Linked DNA regions of Neurospora crassa OR74A. The protein of the gene in region 2 purifies or fractionates together with the protein of the main gene of each other region. This does not show direct contact. Links are inferred from orthologs where the notes say so. Each region holds a gene or a part of one and is shown on either strand. Other genes may lie near its edges. The genes, in order: NCU03464, hat-2 and NCU04136.

What was found.
Region 1: the proteins of hat-2 (region 2) and NCU03464 purify together in Saccharomyces cerevisiae (affinity purification with mass spectrometry; 10 studies listed by BioGRID, with this or other methods). This does not show direct contact. The link is inferred for Neurospora crassa OR74A from reciprocal best matches to the Saccharomyces cerevisiae genes TAF1 and TAF13.
Region 3: the proteins of hat-2 (region 2) and NCU04136 purify together in Saccharomyces cerevisiae (affinity purification with mass spectrometry; 16 studies listed by BioGRID, with this or other methods). This does not show direct contact. The link is inferred for Neurospora crassa OR74A from reciprocal best matches to the Saccharomyces cerevisiae genes TAF1 and TAF5.

Annotation. Positions count from the first base shown.
Region 1 is NC_026502.1:614,676-621,482, forward strand, and holds NCU03464 (transcription factor TFIID complex subunit Taf13), read left to right. Parts: upstream 1-3,116; 5' UTR 3,117-3,579; coding exon 3,580-3,640; intron 3,641-3,774; coding exon 3,775-4,361; 3' UTR 4,362-4,702; downstream 4,703-6,807. Other genes in the region: NCU03465 (hypothetical protein), read right to left, coding at 2,080-2,103, 2,179-2,260, 2,409-2,518, 2,602-2,604; NCU16511 (ADP-ribose 1''-phosphate phosphatase), read right to left, coding at 4,703-6,807. UniProt on the Saccharomyces cerevisiae protein: Functions as a component of the DNA-binding general transcription factor complex TFIID. Binding of TFIID to a promoter (with or without TATA element) is the initial step in pre-initiation complex (PIC) formation.
Region 2 is NC_026501.1:2,718,920-2,726,007, forward strand, and holds hat-2 (histone acetyl transferase-2), read left to right. Parts: upstream 1-2,501; 5' UTR 2,502-2,878; coding exon 2,879-5,838; intron 5,839-5,894; coding exon 5,895-5,951; intron 5,952-6,013; coding exon 6,014-6,226; intron 6,227-6,286; coding exon 6,287-6,407; 3' UTR 6,408-7,086; downstream 7,087-7,088. Other genes in the region: NCU16368 (hypothetical protein), read right to left, coding at 1-12, 99-829, 902-1,099. UniProt on the Saccharomyces cerevisiae protein: Functions as a component of the DNA-binding general transcription factor complex TFIID. Binding of TFIID to a promoter (with or without TATA element) is the initial step in pre-initiation complex (PIC) formation.
Region 3 is NC_026505.1:4,960,537-4,964,136, forward strand, and holds the start of NCU04136 (transcription initiation factor TFIID subunit), read left to right. Parts: upstream 1-1,057; 5' UTR 1,058-1,439; coding exon 1,440-1,631; intron 1,632-2,267; coding exon 2,268-2,450; intron 2,451-2,511; coding exon 2,512-3,317; intron 3,318-3,376; coding exon 3,377-3,600. Other genes in the region: NCU04135 (hypothetical protein), read right to left, coding at 1-468, 537-653. UniProt on the Saccharomyces cerevisiae protein: Functions as a component of both the DNA-binding general transcription initiation factor complex TFIID and the transcription coactivator SAGA complex.

The DNA.
Region 1 (6,807 bases), on a different chromosome or scaffold from region 2:
AGGTACCTGCTGCTGTTCTTGCCTTGCCTACTAATATCGATCGATGTCCTTTATCAATGTACTTACTGGCTGATTTTCATGCTCGTTCCTTCTTCTTCTTCTTCTTCTTCTTCTTCTTCTTCAGCATTTTTACGCATCACATAGGTCTAGGTGCAATGCCGGTATTGTTTTGACATTAGGAAAACGCACGCCTGTCTTTTTTTACCTGGAGGCAGTCCAGTATGGCCTTTTGGGACTTTGGGACTTTGGGACTTTTGGGTATAATTGAAGCGGGTGAGATTACTTAAGGTATTTAGGGTACTTAGTAAGTAGTAAAAGGAGAAGAGAAAAGACCGCGCTATTCGTGTAGTGTAACAGCGAGATCATGTCGACGTTCAACTGCGAGTATCGAATGTATCTTTGCTTCAATATATTGTATCCAGATCCAACCACCAACTCCTGGGATTGAGTGTCTGAGACAACACACAAACTGAAAGGCATTTAGCAAACCGATTACTCTTTCATTTTCCGCGACAGGGACATAGACACGGTAGAAAATTACGCTCTTGATCGTTCGTCGTCTATAACAAAAAGAACAGGAGAAAACAAAAACAAAGACCGAGAAACATACAACACCAGGGATTCGCTGGTCGTCACCGACCCAACTACTAGTCTGGCCCTCACTGGCTTATCTATGGGAGAGCGGACGGGATCCCGAGTTTTCCAGTGGGTATGGTCGTATGTGCTTGTTTCGGGCTGTTCTTGGACTTATATGAGAGAGCTCCTCTGGTCATAGATGCCGGAATGACTCGAGCCTCTTCCACACAATAAACAAAGAAATCGGCAAGTGAGAGATCTATGATAGTGAGGAGAGTAGAGAAAGCGAGGGTTATGAAGAAAGAAACATAATGGATGGCTTGCTTTGTACGAACGCAAAGTGACAACGTCAAGTAAGGCGGTCATCACCTGCTTCCCTTTTGCAGGTGGCCAAGGAAGTGCACAACATAGTCTGGGATCACCAACCGTAGAACCTTGGGGAGAAAAGAAGTTACGAGGAAAGGACATCCGCGAGCAAAAAGAACACGTGAACAGCCTCATTTCGATCTAACATTCTTTGTCGCGGAGAAGTTACATCAGCAGCCATGACCGGAACAAGTCGCCGAAGAGGACACATTTTTTTTGCAGACACCCTGTTTAGCTACCAACCTTGGACATTGGGGGTCTTGAATGCATCATTGTCTCTTCATTTGGTCTCTCAAAGAAAGGGATATGGCGCGGTGATCGTCTAGGACATCCCGCCCAAGTCTAATGAAGGATCCGCAACCTTGATAGTCTAGCCGCAGCCTGTTGAGAACCATACCAGAACCTTCTTGAACTGACCGAAGGCCAGGTGTTTAGCTACCTCGTGACCGTGCTCAACCCAGCAAGCCAGACACAAAAACCGGTGACCGCTACAAGAGCGTGGAACCCTCTGCGATGTTGGCCAGGCGAAACCAGTTTGATGCCATGTGATCCACTAGTGATATCTCAGCCACGATGATCCCATATCTCTTTTCGTACTGTCGAGCCTTGCCCAGTCGTCTAGAACAGTCGTAAACCGGCAATCCGAAGCTCAGCTCGCTCGGGTCCCATCTCGGTAAAATCATGGAGTCCAGCATTGTCGATAGGGCGTCCGCTGCTTCCAAGTCCCACAAAGACCCTGTCGATCTCGCTTTACCGAGAGGGATTGGCCGGGTGTGCTGAGTTCTGGGCGTCGATAGTCGCAAAGTGTCGGTGTCCCCGAGCACGCCAGATCGTCATCTCCAGTGCTGTCCTCCATTGCCTGATTGCCATCCGCCTGTTTCACTTTGAAGTACTTCCTTTGAATTTGTCGGCCTTGTTGTCCCGCGTCCAGAAAACTGTCTATCCTTATGTCGCCGGGGCTGTCGCTTTCTCCGATGCTCTTCTCTCCATTTTTTTTCCTTTTAGTGGAAACCCAGTGTGAACATATACTCCTGCAACTCCAAAGTTATGATTAAAAGGCGCAGTACCACGTAGTTGACAAGCGCCAAGCATTATAAAAACGTGTATTCGTGTCGAGGTAACAAGGGAAAGAATGATTTAGTTGCCAACAAGCATGGAGAACTATTCAACATATCTTATTAGTCTCTTTGGTCTAGAACAGACAGTGGATTGTGTGGAACAAACGGGAAAACATACCGCCATGAAGATACAACATATGCTAACATACGGACTCAGCCGCTCGCCTATCCTTGCGCACTTCCAGAAGATGCCCATCAAGCTGTTCATTTTTCATGTCAGCACGTCGTTCCGTTGACCAGTCCCTGTGTATCTTTTGTCTCTCCTAAAACCCGCCCTGTTTTCAAACTTTATGCGGTGTCGAGGCAGAAGAGACAGGTCCATCGCCAAAAAGGGGAAAGGCAACTCACCCATCCTTGTTCCGGTCGAGGATCGCGGGGAACATCTGATGTATGTATGTCGAGGTGCAGACGAGGAGGATGATGACTAGAAGGAGGGATTGGAAGTTGAAGAGCGCGGTCTGTGAAGATCATCAAAGTGGTTAGCGATGATGTGATGGGATGCAATGGGAGGTGATGCGCCATGACGTTGCGGGTGACATACCATGGTGGGCGCTTTGATATGATGAGGCTGTCGGGGAAAAGAAATTCTCGTTATTTGGAGACGCGTCCAGGTCTCGTCGCTCGCTCGTCGTCCTTGCCGTGGATATCGCGGGTGGAGGTGTCGTAAACTTGCCGTGTTGGTGGTTACGTAGGTGTAGTCAGTGGTGATTGTGGAGGCCAGGGTGTCATAGCTCCTTCCACGGCTTCCAGGGCAAAAGAGGCCCGCGAGGCTGCGAAATGCCACACTGAACTTTCAGCGTTGTTAGGGGTGCCGCTCAGCAGTCTCACGCCCCGGGGCGCGCACAGCTTCAGCTCTTCCATTGTGGTTCGCTCTTAAGTGGAAGTGGAATGGATGTGACTGGAAGCTGATTGGTCATTGGACTCCATACCCGTCTTGTGGAGCCACGGTTACACAAGGCAGGGGTTCCTGGCGCCGTTGGGGGGCCTGGGGGCCTTGGGGGCCTTTCTTAGTCCCGTTTGGCATTTCGGAGCCTCATTGTTGATCGATCCATCATCGTCATCGTTTTCAACTTCGAACCCGTCCTCCGACAAGACGCCTAAGTTGGGACATATGCCGCCGGGCTGGACGCTCTTTTCAATCAACTAACTAGACAGCTATCGTACAGCCTACCAGTTTCGCTCGATTAATCCAGCGCTGCATCATCCTCTCAGTCGTCAAACATTTGCGCTCCCTCACCACTTAACGCGACAAGGCTGATCGAGCTCTCGACCCCGCGCAACTCGAAGCTCTAAATCGCACCAGCCTTCGACGTTGAGCTTCTAGGTCTGCTCAACTGAGCCTCTGAGCCCGTCGATAAATTCAGCCTTCTACTCGGTTCCTATCCAAACCTTCCTCGTTTGCAACGCATCTCTACTGCGAACCGCAACCTCAATCCTCCATCCACCTCCATCCACCTCACCTTCGTCCATCACCATCCTCACACTTCGGGGCCTCAAGCCCACCCACCCCCAGCCCACCATGGAACCCCGCGCCCGCGCCGGCAAAAATGTCGGCAAAATGAATTTTAACCACAACGAACGTACGTCTCTTCTTTTTCCCACTCCCCATTTTTCCCCTCCTCCCCATTCCCCCCCCCTCTTCCCCCCTCCCCATTTCCCCCCTCTTTTCATCCCCCACCTAGACTAACCCCCCCTCTTTTTTGCATCGCAACAGTAGCCCAACTCCTCTACGGCCACGGCGACCTCAAGAACCCCCTGCCCGAAACCGTGCGCGTGCTCGACGAGCTCATCACCGACTTCATCCAGGGCGTCGGCTTCGAAGCCACGCGCGCCGCCCACCACGCCGGCCGACAAAAAGTCAAGTTTGAAGATTTCGAGTTTGCCATGCGCCGGAACCCGCGGTTCATGGGCAAGATCCAGGAGGTGTTTGAGAAGAAAAAAGAGATCGAGGCGGCGCGCAAGAATTTCAACATTGAGGATCAGTTGATGAAGGATGCGGATAAGGAGGAGAAGGAGAAGGAAAAGAAGGGGGGTAGTGCTGACAAAGGAGACAAGGAGAAGGGGGAGAAAGGGGAGAAAGAGAAAGAAAAGGGAGGGGAGAAAGGAGGAGGAGGAGGAGAAAAGGAAAAGGAAAAGGGACCGGGAAGTACTGTCTCGGGATCGGGGTCGGGTTTAGGTTCCGGCGGTGGCGGGACAAAGAGGAAGAGACAGCAGAGTGTGTTGGAGGATGAAGAGTTGGATGAGTTGGATGATGATTTGGAGGCCGAGGCGGATATTGGCACGGCGACGAAGAGGAGGTAGGATCTCCTTGGGTGGAACCGTCGTCGCTGAGAGTATTTCGTTTTGGTTGGTTCCGGGTTTTGGCCAAGTTGGTCTGTGATTTGGGAAGAAAAGGGGACGACGGCATGGCATTATTTCGTTTTGATAATATGCATAGCGAGGCGTTAAGGGACATGGATACGGTTAGGTTGGTCAAGCATGGGGATTATTGCCTTGAACGGGCTATGAGCTTAGGAAGTTCTATCACTCTTGACACAATAGCTTCCTTTTACAGTAGCCGTATCAACATTACTCTTCATACCAGCCCTTTATTAAACCCATCTCTCTCGCTTCGCAAGAAGTGCCCAGGACCTATTTTCCCGTTACTTTCCATTCCCATTTCTCTGTCCCTTCCCCTTCCCCTTTCCCTTCCCCCCCTTCCCTTTCTCCCCCTCAATGGCACTAACCCCCTCAAAAACCATAATCTCCCCTTTCCCAGGCAACATTCCCTCCGGCACTCTAACCTCCACCTTCTCCAAGACCTCCTTGGTCATCTCCCACTCCACCGCAGACTTGCCCGCATCAATCCTAGGCATCCTCATCTCCGGACCAATCACCATATTCATACTCTTCTTCTTCTTCGTAGCAGTCGCATTCACATTCACATTCACATTCCACTCCGCAACCTGCCTCATCAAATCCTCCATCGCCTTCCCTGTCGCTTTCATCATCGCCACCGCCGGATCTCTATACGGGCCATACCCAAGACTGGTAAAAAGACACCCGACAAAGTGCTTCTTGTCGTCCGGAACAGAGGGACGCGGCGGGATGAGCAGTGCCGTGCCGACTAAGCTGCGCTGGTGCTTGGCCAAAGCGTTTTTGCGGGCTTGGATGGGGTCGACGGACTCGGCGGCTTCTTCTTGGTCTTGAAGGAGATTGTTGGTTTGTGAGGAGGTGGACGTGGATGTGATGGGGATGGAAGAGCAGTGCGCCTGGTAGGCTTTGTAGGCTCCGGGGTAGTGAGTGCGGAAAATCCTGGCTATGCCGGTGCCCCAGTCGCCTTGGGCGTTACAGGCGTGGATGAGGAGGGAGCCAGGAGGGGGTGCGGGGGAGAAGATGTCGGAGGAGTTGGCGTGGGGGATGAGGGTGAGGCGGTGGGTGGTGAGGGGTGGTGGTGGTTTTTGTTGTTGTTGTGGTTGTTTGGTTGATGTTGCTGCTTTTGCTTGTGATGATGCGGATGTCGTCTTCGTCTTTGGTTCTGCTTTTCGCGCCTCCCGTGTTCGCGTCTCTGCTGTCGTCTCTGCTACACCCGGCGACGACAACCCCAAGGACCTCAACACCACACTCCCACCGTTGATGATCATATCATTTCCCACCTTCCAGCCACCCAAATCCTCTTGGTGTTCCAACGCACTGGGACCAAACTTGCGACCTTTCTTAAGACTGAACGTGAAATACGACGGAACCTTCTTTTCGACTGTTCCCATTGGTTCAGCTTTCTTCTCAGATTTCACTTTCCCATCGCCACCATCTTTCAAGCCATTGTTTTCCTGAGTCTGCTGAGTCCGCTGAACCTGCTGAGCCTGCTGATTCTTTTGATCCTGCTGATTCTTTTGACTCTGCTGAACGTGCTGAGCTTGCTGAACCCGCTGAACCTGCTGAACCTGCTGAACCCGCTGAACCTGCTGAACCTGTTGAGACTGCTCATCCTGCTGAGTCTGCTCACTCTGCTGATTCTTCACTCTCCCACTTCCACTTCCACTTCCACCAGCACCAGCAGCACGATTACGCCTAACGGCAGCCCATCCACCCATATGAGCAAGAATGCTCCCGCGGTTCTTGCTTCCCTCGCGGCTCTCAAGTCTCCGAATTCTTACGCCCCCAGTACCTTCAGCACCTTCAACACTACCACCAACACCACCACCACTATTACTGACCTCAGCGAGGCCAAAGTCCGCCACCTTGGGTTCCTCCAGTACTGTTTTCCTGTTTCTTGGTTTCTGTCCCTGTTCCGTGCCATTCAACCCATTATCACCGTTCTGTACTTCCTCCTGTGCCGCTGGCATGTCCGAGACTGTGGAGGGATCTTGATCCATTAGTAGCGGATGTGTCCGTGCTAATATCGCTTGCTGACGTTGCTGACGTTGCTGACGTTGGTGCTGTTGGTGCTGTTGGTGCTGTTGTCCCTGAATCTGTCTCACTTGCTGTTGCTGATGTTGCTGATATTGCTGTTGCTGCTGGTATTGTTGATGCTGATGCCGATACTCCTCCCTCCCCACCGCCAGTTGATGATACCCCCTCTGCTGCTGCTGTTGTCGATACCCCCCATATTGTTGTCGGTGCCCCTTTTGCTTGGTGCTATGCAGCCCAATAGTATTCACCTTAGTATCCCACGCAATTTGCTGTTGCTGGTGCTGTTGCTGTCGTTGTTGCTGCCCTGCTCCGTTCACTTTCATATCCACATCCACTTTGACTTGCTCCAGCTTCT
Region 2 (7,088 bases):
TCGAGGGTCGGGCTGAAAGATCCGTGTTAGCACAATGAGGCCACATGTACATAGAAGAAAAAAGTCAGCCAGCACCAGGGTGAAAAGGACCAACTCACTAAACACCAGCATGAATTTCAAGCACATATCCCTCCTTCTGCCAACCGCCCCACAACTCTTTAAGCTCCTCCTCAAATGGTCTCATGCTTCCCTGCGAGTTTGCCGTGGGCACATCGCACTCCCCCGTAAACCAAGGGCTCTGGATCGTCGTCGCCGTTGGCGTCGCACCTACCGATAACACCAGAGGAGCATGGTCCGGACTCTTTTCGCGAATCTTCATGGCAGCATTATGGGCGTGAATGAATTCAGCGTGAAGAACATGCATAGCATCTCCGAGCTTGCGAGCCCCGTAGCTCTGCCCGGCATGTGTATACAAGCCATGCAGCACCAACCATCCTTCCCGCTCAGCAGCCAGGAGGACGTCGACTAGAGATGGGTACTCGGGAGAGTCGGTCTTGACGCCGGCGCGGCCGTAGTTGACGTCGATTTTGATGAACACGCGGGGAGGGTGTCCTGAGGAAGTGTGGATGGCCTTGACGTAGGGGAGCTGATCGACGTGATCGATCATAACGGATAAGCCATCGGGGCCGAGCTGGGAAGAAACGGCGGCGAGACGGGGGACGGCGGATGCGAAGAGCGGGAAGGATAAGAGAACGTTGACATGGCGGTCTTTGGATTGGTACTCTTTGAGGAGGGGAGTGATATTTTCGGCTTCAAGGATGGTTGAGACGATTAGCAGGACGGGAATGGTGAGGTGGTTTCCGACTTGGAGGCGGGTGAGCTCTGTTGTCTATATGTTGTTTACAGTTGTCAGTGACAGTTTTGTTTTGTCGTTTTAATGGGTCATGATCCATTGTTGTACCTTGTGGGTCTTGATATGAGCTCTCCATTGCAGGCCAAGGTTTTCGGCTGCTTCGAGCATGCGCTCACAGTTCACCATGACCTGTTTAAGGTCAAGGACGACGCTGGGCGTAGGGACCTCGGACAGCTGCTTGCCGACGAACCTCGCCCTTAGAGCATCTTGCTTTTGCTTCAACTCTTCCATTACGGGGTTTGCCATGGTGAGCAGTGTGGTATTTTTGCCCTCGAAACTTCACTTGGTGTGCGAGGTAAAGAAAACGGTGCAAAAGGCGATGACGAAGCTGCTATGGTAGACGCAGTATGACTGTGGCCCACAATATCGGCTGATTTGTTACATTCTTTAAACCACCTAATCCAGTCATCTCAAGAAAGAGGAATAGTACCTCTAGTAGGTAAATGTAGCTTTGGCTTTACCGACAGCCTAGTACGTAACCATGGCTTCGGCCGTGGCTTTAACACAGTTTCCCACTGTACGTCAAAAACACCATTGGTAGTGAGTGTACTGTTGCTGAACTTCATGGCCCTGCCAGTTCGCAGGGTATAACATCCGAACTGTCATGCCAAAAACGGGCTGAGCACTGGTATGGGCGTGCGAGTGTGGTTGCAGAGAAATGAGAATCCAGAGAGACTGGAAATGACATCTCGCATCAGTTCAGGTGTGTTCTGCCCCCCACGTTGCGGGTGACATTGTGGCCATTTGGCCCGAACAGAGAGGGAGACGGGACTTAAGTTGCGCGTCACTCTACTGTTGTAAGAGATCAATTAATCAGTATTTGATTTCGCTCTCGATTCATGTCTCTTCGCCTCCAACGGGGTCCTATTCCTTCTGTACCTGCCGTTGATTTGGTTGTCACACAAGGCGGGGAAGCTTTAGTTCTTCCTCCATATTCTTTACTTTACCTGGATGGTACTTGTAAGTTGTAGGTGAGGTCGCATACCGTATAGACTCGGGGCGTTGGTTTTCAACTTTCTGGGAAATCAGGCCTAAGCTGTAAGCATACTGCAACATTCATGCCCACCAAAAATTCTATGCAAGACGGTGATTTTGAATGTCTCCACGCTCCAGCGCCCTTGAAAAGATAGGTGTTTTAAGGCAGGACATTGAAGAATCGAATTTACCGTGCTTCGGGGTGGCAACATGGAAGTCTCCTCCAATTAATTTTGTGGACATAAAATGCACATAATCGGGCAGCATGCTTACAGGTTATGCCTGATTTCCTAGGAAGTTGAAAATCAACGCCCCGAGTTTCCAGGTTGTACAGTTTAGGTATTAGGTACCTGGGCTACCTACCTCTACCTCTACCTGTACCTACCTACCTATTCCAGGTTCCTTACCAGATTCCCAAAGCAAGTTCCAGGTTCAACGCTACCTAGGTATTATGCTTCAAGACCAGGGACAGTGTGCGCGAGCCATTCACTGCACTTAGCGTCCCCCAGTCACTGCCCTGGGGCTGCTCGCTAGGTATCTAGAATAGGTAGGTACCTAGGTAGGCTGTCACACGGCTGCCAGACCCGGGCCCGGTCAACGGACCCACTTAGAGGTACCTAGAGTAGCCGTGCAGTGGCCCCGACAGGCCGATTCGTTGTTCGCATTCAAGCACGCTTGCACTCCGCGCAGTGGCAGTGTGCTTCCTTGCTTGTGGGAGGTTCAACACTTTTGCAACTTCCGCTAGGTACCGTTGCAACCTCAACGTCAACCTCACCCTCGACTCACCCGACGGCCATTTCGACTCTGCCACAACCACGACCCAAAATTGCATGCGGCGTTGCCAACACCCCACCAACACCGAACGCGCGCTTGGTTCACTTTGCTCCCCCGCCGCGGGCATTCTCGACGATTTCTCCGCTCCAGGATCATGATCTGACAGCTTAACCGGCCGCGCAACCGTTGGAGGGAGCAAGAGAGAGACGGGCGGACGACTGCGCGACAGACGACAACACACAGCGTTGAGGCGGCATCGCCTCTCCGCCCGGCAAGATGCCCGCAGACAACGACGACTTTGATTTCAACGCCCTCAATGAGGAAGGATGGAAGGAGCAGGAGGCCCGCGATGAGGAAGCCATTCGCCAGATCAACAACAGCTTCGGCCCGGGTGGTAACGATGGTCTGACTGAAATGCTGGGGAACCTCCAGTCGGGAGGCGAGATCGATCAACGAGGCAAGGCAGACGATGCCATCGACTTTGAGGACATCGACTTGAGCGACGAGGACGAGCTACCCAACGACGAACCGAGCACTTCCGGCACCAGTGGCGAGCTGCCAAGCCTCATCGACGACGCCGGCACTAATGATGACGACGACCTCTTTGGTGGCGACCCCTCATCGCCCATGGACACAGCTCACGATGGCCTGAGATCCTCTCCCCCGCCGCTCGACGTCCATGACGATGTTGATGCCAAAAAACGTCCGGATGCTGCCGCCGGGGAGTCCCTTGAAGACCTCCGGAACCTCAACTTCGACAATGACGAAGAGCCGCATGCGACAAATCAAGATCCCGACATTCCTCCGCCAGCGGAAAACTTCATCGACGCCGTCAAGCAACTATTCCCCGGTTTTGAGGAAAACGCCATCCTGCATTGGAACGAACTATTGAAGCCCAAGAATGCCACATGGATCTCAAAAAAGCCCCCCAAAGCTCCCAAGCCCTTGATACCATCAAAACTCAGTCTGGAGTTGGATGCCGATCAGGAAAAGCAGTTCCGGATTCCGGGCCCTGCCACTGGCTCCGTTTGGCAGAGGATTAAGGAAGCGGAAGCGAGAGGTCTGTTCTGTCTCGAAGAGCCAGAGCCTTTGGAACAAACCGATCTGGAAGTATTCAGCTTGGACGACGAAACGGATTCGGAGAGGATAGGTGGATATACCCTCCAGGACATAGCTACGATATGTCAGGACTGGGAACAGATGATTTTCTTGGGCGACAGTCTTGCGGCTGCCATCGAGCCGGGACCGCAGCCGAAACCTGACAACATGCTCATTAAGGATGAGCCTGATGAAGAGGCGGACTGGGATGCCATGTTCCTCGATGAGCCTGCTCAAAAGCGGAGAAAGATCGAAATTCCTAAAGGTCTTCCTCCTATTGCTCACTTCACGGCTCCAAATTTGGACGAATTCGAGCAGGTCACTTCGAAATTGGGCAAGCGTGTCATCCTTGACATGAACGACCCTTATTTGCTGATAGACGACGTCGAATCTGAGCGGTCATCTAAGCGGCGAAAGACCCAACATAAAACGGTCCGCTTGGCGAATGGGAAAGCTGGGCGGGACCTTATACAGCGGTTCAATTTCTCCTCTGACGCTGCTTACGACGCGTTGAAGGAGAACAGCCAGAATAGGGTTCGGGCCACGTTGGCTACTATCCCTGTCGAGCACAGTTTGCCTGCGCAGAGACTGTCTTGGCCTTACTACCGCGTCAAGCTCGCGGCCAGTGACCCTCATAGTTATCACCGGCCTCAGCTCCACCCTAAGAAGGATCTGCAGTATCTCATCAGGTTCGACAAGCCTGCCATTATCAAGCGCAAGACTCTCAAGGGTAAACGCGTCAGCGAGGTATTTAAGAGTACTCATGACCTCTCCCTCAACGACAACTCGACCGCTATCCTTTTCGAGTACTGCGAGGAAATTCCCACCGTTCTCTCCAACTTTGGCATGGGACAGAAAATCATTAATTACTTCCGTCGAGCTAAAGGCGCTGATAGCAGACCTGAGAAGCGTGAGCTTGGCGAGACTTGTATATTGATGCCAGAAGATCGCTCACCCTTCGCCATCTTCGGTCACGTCCACCCTGGCGAGGTCGTGCCTACTCTTCACAACCACATGTTCCGCGCCCCTATTTTCAAGCATAACCCGAGGAATACAGACTTCCTGATTGGTCGTAGCAGTACCGGCCAAAAAGGCTCAACTTGGTACATCAGAAATATCGATCATCTTTACGTTGTCGGCCAAACCCTGCCCTCCATGGAAGTCCCAGGGCCCCATTCCAGACGTGTTACAAACATTGCCAAGAATCGTCTCAAGATGGTCTCGTATCGCCTACTTCGCAAGAGCGAGCATGTTACCCTCCATGATATTACTAAGCATGTAGCTGAGTCCAACGAGTCTCAGAATCGTCAAAAGTTGAAGGAGTTCCTGCGCTTTAGAAAGGAAACAAAAGATTGGGCGCTGCCCGAAGGCGAAGAGCTAATGGCCGAACCGGCCATTCGATCTCTTGTTAGGCCGGAAGAGGTCTGCCTATTGGACGCCATGCAAGTGGGCTTGCACGAGATCGAGAAGGGTGGTTATGATGCTACCGATTCCCTCAAGGACGATGACATTGGGGTTGATGTGAACGATGAGCTCTCTCCAGATGCTCTTGCCAACAAGATGGCGCCTTGGAAGACTACCAAGGCATTTCTTGACGCCAGTCATGGCAAGGCTATGCTTGCAGTTCATGGCGCCGGCGACCCGACGGGCAAGGGACTGGGCATCAGTTTCCTGAGGACGTCCATGAAAGGCGGCTATCTTGAGCAGCTCCAAGGACCAATGGCCACATCAGCAGATGCCATAGAGAGGCAGCGCAAAGCGAACGGTGGGCACATGTACAACGTCAAGAACCAGGACACACTCTACACCGAGGCTCTTACCGATATCTGGAACCGCCAGCGGGAGAGTCTCTTGGATTCCCAAGAGCACGATGATGAAGATGTGCTTGGGCAAGAGGATGAAGACGAGCGTTTCAACGTACAGGGCAGCCAATTCGCGCAAACCCCTGTGGTCCAGGACGGTTTTAGTCAGATTAGCCAGAGCGCCACCAGTGCTATTAACCGGAAGAAGCTCGTGATCACAAGAGAGGTGAGGGATGAAAATGGCCAAACACGGACTGTGACAGAGGTCGTAAGGGACCCTGCTGTCATTGCTCAGTACGTCAAGAGGCGTCGCCAAGAGCAAAAGTCCGAGATTGAGTAGGTTCCCTCCCATAAGCACTTGAAGAAGAACCAATGACTGACTTTATTCGCAGTATCTACAATGTTAAGATGACCGGCGACCAAGAGCGGGACGCCGTTATTCTCGAGCTGTTGGTCACCCTCTACGCATTGTACTTGAAAGAAAGGGCCGCACACTGACATTGCTCTTTAGGCTCGAGAAGGAACATGATCGTCTCATGAAGAATAAAATGAGAACAATGAAGCGCGAGAGACAGAAACAACTACAACAGCGCCTCAAGAGTGGAGGAACTCTACCCCTCGATAACGACGACGGGTCGTTAGAGCCCTCGATTGAGAAAGCCACTGGAACCACTCGCAGATGCGCAAATTGTGGGGCCAAGGGCCATATCAAGACAAACAAAAAGTAAGTTGTCCGCACATTATGCTCCGTCGGTTTTCACTCTTTTTAACCCTGACATTCTAGGCTCTGCCCGTTGCTCAACGGTTCGATGACCAAAGACCAGACTCAGGACGATGGCGCCTCTGGTGTCGGCTCGCCCAACCCGAACGCGCCGGTCGCTGCTAGTTTCATGACTCCTAGCTAGTAAGGTTGTGGTGGTTATTGATATCGCTGGTTCTGGTGTTTCAACCTGGAGCTAGCCGGGAAAAAAAAGTCACATTGACTGCCTTCTTTCATACGGGTTGGTTCCCATATAACTTGGTTGGCCATGACGAGGTATACGGCGAGGCAAATTGGGCAGTATATTGCCTGGCGTGGTTGGTGTTCCGCCCTGTATAACAATGGACAAGAGCAGTGGCGCTTTTTGCTTTTGGTGGTTGGCGTTTTACGGTTGGCGAAAATACGACGGTATCACATCTCACATTTCACATCATATCGCCATTGTTCTTTTCGTCCCTTGTTGACCGGCTCGAACGCCATTATATTAGGTTTCACGGTTTCGTCTAAGGAATGCGTTTAATTTCAGTCCCGTGTTTCAGACAGAACGACGAGGAGCCGGTAATCACCCTCCAAGAGTCTTGCTTCGGTTAGTTAGTCAGGCTGAGGGTCTTCTACTATTTACAGGCCTTTAGGCGGCCCAGTAGCATCATTTTCAAGCATCAGAAATAAGTTGGCTTGTCGTGAGGGTGCGAGCAGGGACAAACAAGTTTGCGTTTGAAGCCATGGGCATGGAAGGATATTAAACAAGGATGAAAAGAGGAGCCTGAAACCGTACTAGAAATGATATAAAAAGGATCACGGATTCTCTCACAGAATTGGATCACAC
Region 3 (3,600 bases), on a different chromosome or scaffold from region 2:
CCCCACACCGTCCGGGTCCAGTCGTGCCACCACGGGCCGCACCCACTTGGCGCCGCGGTGCGTCTCGATCTTGGCTGGGCGCGTGAGTTCGCCGGGGTTTTTGGGTGCAGAAGCGGCCGCGTAACCGCCGGGTTTGTTGGAAGCACTGGGTTCGCCTGGACCGCCGGTACCGTCGTCGTCGGGGTTGTTGGGGTTGGAGTTGGAGGAGGAAGAGCGGAGGTTGATGATGCCTGCTTCTTCCATGGCGTAGATTTGTCGACGGAGTTGCTTGTCGACGCGGTCGAGGGTGGAGAGGAAGGTGGATTGGATTTGGGTGAAGCGGGTTGTAGCGTCTTCTTGGTCTTGTTCTTCTTGTTGTTGTTTTTGTTGTTCGGCTTCGGTTTGGTTCTGGGTGTCGGATGATGTGGGTGGTGGGGAGGCGAGGCAGCGGAGGGCGTTGGAGGTTAGTTCGAGAAGGGAGACGATGTCCTTTTTTTTTTTTGGAGAGGAGGAGGTTAGTTGGAGGAATATGGAAATGGTGGAAGGAGGTAACGTACATTGTCGATGTTGCTGAGTTGCTGAATGTGCTCGGCGGTTGTAAAGGGTTCGTGGATGTCGATGTCCATTTGGGATTGGAGCTGTAGTTGCCCTTGGGGTTGGGCGTTGTTATCCATGCTGATGTGAAGTTGTCGAATCGATGGGCTGATGCTTATGCGTATGGAATTATCGGTAGATATATATTGTAGTGAGTCCAATTGGGTGGTTTGTGATTTTATGTCGCTGCTGTCAACTTCTTGATGCGCCTGTTGGTGGTTTGGTTGTGTTTTGTATTTTCGGGACAAGGAGGCTGAAGAGGTTCTGGAAGCTCCCCCACCTGTCAATTGAGTTAAGGTTGGGTGCTGAATGGCCGGTGTGGACCTTGACGGACAACATGAACGAAACGTGGGGTAAATTCCGGGACCTGCAAGTGCCAAGGTCCAGCGTGCCTGCAGCAAAGCACGGATCAGGCGCTAGACAGACGCGCTAAATGGTCCACTGTTCGACTGTTCGCGACGTCCTCGCTCGGCAAATGCCGTCCTTCCACTTCCACTTGGACGGGCACTGACCTGGACCTCGTCATCTCCGTCTTTTCTTGAGCCTCATTATCAATCTCGCCCTTTCCCGTAAAACAGACGCTATCATTATACAGGCAGCCAAGATCGTTCTCGAAGTCAGAGTATACCCATTACGAACGAACTATATAGCACCGGATTCACAGGAGCTGGATCAAGACTCTACCATCATCTGCCACACGCGTCGACGTCCTCCTCATCCTTTACCACCCACTTACTAAGAAAGCCACATCGATACAACAAGAACCATACACGCCACCGGAGTCATTGAGGCTCGATTTTGCACCTGTTGTATAGACAAAGCATACGATATACGTAGCCGTTCGAGAAAAAGGCATCTCACACATCATGTCCAATCCCCCACCAGCAAACACCGGCCAGGCGCCGGGAGGGGCCACATATGGCGGTGGCCAACAACATCAACAACCTCAGTCTACTACTGGTGGTGCGCCAACGACGGGAGGCACAGGAGGAACAGGAGCTGCAGGGACGACCTCGACGAGCAGTACGGCGCCCACACCTCAGAATTTGAATCAGATAGTGAGTCCTTGTTGAGTGTTTGATTCCACCTGCCCCATGTTTTACCTATCAATGTTTTATAGCCTTGTTCAAGATGTACCAGCTCATGGAATTTCTATGAGCTTCATCTCTCCTCGCTTCCTTCTGCCCCTCCTCTTTCTACAGAACCTCTACATGTACAAGTACAAGTCATGAACTTTCCCAACCATCACCGTATTTCTTTTTGTTTTTTTGTTTCTTCATAATGGGCAGGCACACGGCATGTTGGCCGGCCGTGCCTTGGCGCTCATTCATATTCATGGGGCTTCCCATAAAGTTCATTTCAGATTCACTTCAGATTTCGTTCACCAGCACACCCGTCTAGTAACTCTAAGTTGCCTGGTTTACGTTTTTTCTCCTTCGTTACTACTACAGAATCAAGCTCATTATCATCGTCACATCACAACACAACACATCATCTCTTTTCGCTTTCCCCTGCCCTCAACATTTTGGTAACTTGCGGTAACGAGAAAACATTACGTCTATCCATATCTAATCATGACTCCACGATTTGCCCATCACTCGCCTCCTCCACATTCGCCTCTCCGCTTTTCTCATCTGCCGACCCAAGCTGTGATGGAGCTCTATCGTGTTAAACATCCAACTAACGACGCACAGGTTACGGATTACCTTAAGAAGAAAGGGTTCACCAAGACCGAAGCCGTTTTCCGTCAAGAAACAGCCCACCTCGGGCCTGACGGCAGGCCCGCGCAGCGTAACGAGGAGAACGGACCGCGAAAGTACTTAAAGGCGTTCATCTTGCTCCGAGATTGGATCGAGAATAATTTGGACATCTACAAGGTAAGAGACGACGAAGGCGAGCATCCAAATGATCCGTGGCAGTGATGCTGACAAGCAATAGTTCGAGCTAAGGAAGCTCTTGTGGCCTGTCTTCGTTTACTCCTACATCGAGCTCGTTTCCACGGGGTATGTGGAAGAAGCAAAGCACTACCTGGCAACACTACGACCTCATTTTGACGCTGTCCATCGTGAGGCGTTAGACCTGTTTACGACTGTCACCCTTCCACAACATATTCGCGAAAACCAAACAATCAAACTCTACCGAGAGAACAAGTATCGAATCCCGCTCAACCAGTCACTTTCTGGCAACCTCTTCCACTTTCTCGAGCGCGAGGCGGATGCTGGCGGCTCAACAATCACATTTATCCTCCAAACCTTCTGCCAGGTAGACGTCAGCGCAAGGGGGCCCATTGAGCCATTCAGCTTTGAGGCTATCTACCGACGAGCTCATAATCTAGATCTTGATGAGATTGACCAGCTCGAAGGCATTCCTGGTGTTTTCACCGGTGTTACAAACAGAGACGTTCTCGACTCATCAGCACCGCTGAAGCTCGGCCCTCTTCCAATGGAACCTGAATTGCGAGAAGACGTACGCGCAGAACTTGAGGACGAGGACCAGCGACATCCACCTGTAGAGGGCAGGTCTACACTCGTGGAGGAGTTCGACCAGCGGATCAAGCGAGAAGAGAGTGCCGACGCTCCCTCGAGAACAGACCTCCCTCTTCCACCATCTCGAGCCAGGGACGTCGTAATGGAGATGCAAAAAGTTCGAGAAAATCGGGACCGGTTCAAGATAGAGGGTCGGACTGGCGGTGCGGGTGTTCCTGTCTCGGCCTGCATGTTCACGTTCCATAACAGCTTGGGGAGGTAAGTTTTCGCACATGTTCTTCGGTGCGGCTCTATCATGCTGACTATTTTCTTCTTAGCGTTTCATGTATGGACTTTTCCAACGATCACGAGCTCGTGGCTGTCGGAACTATGGACTCTTATATCCGCGTCTGGTCTATGAACGGAAAGCCATTAAGATCATCTGTAGCCAGCGAGAAGGATCTACAAGTCAACAACCGGAAGCTGATCGGCCACTCCGGTCCGGTCTACGGCGTGTCTTTCTCGGATTCCATTGCCAACCTGGACCGTAATGTCTTCCCGG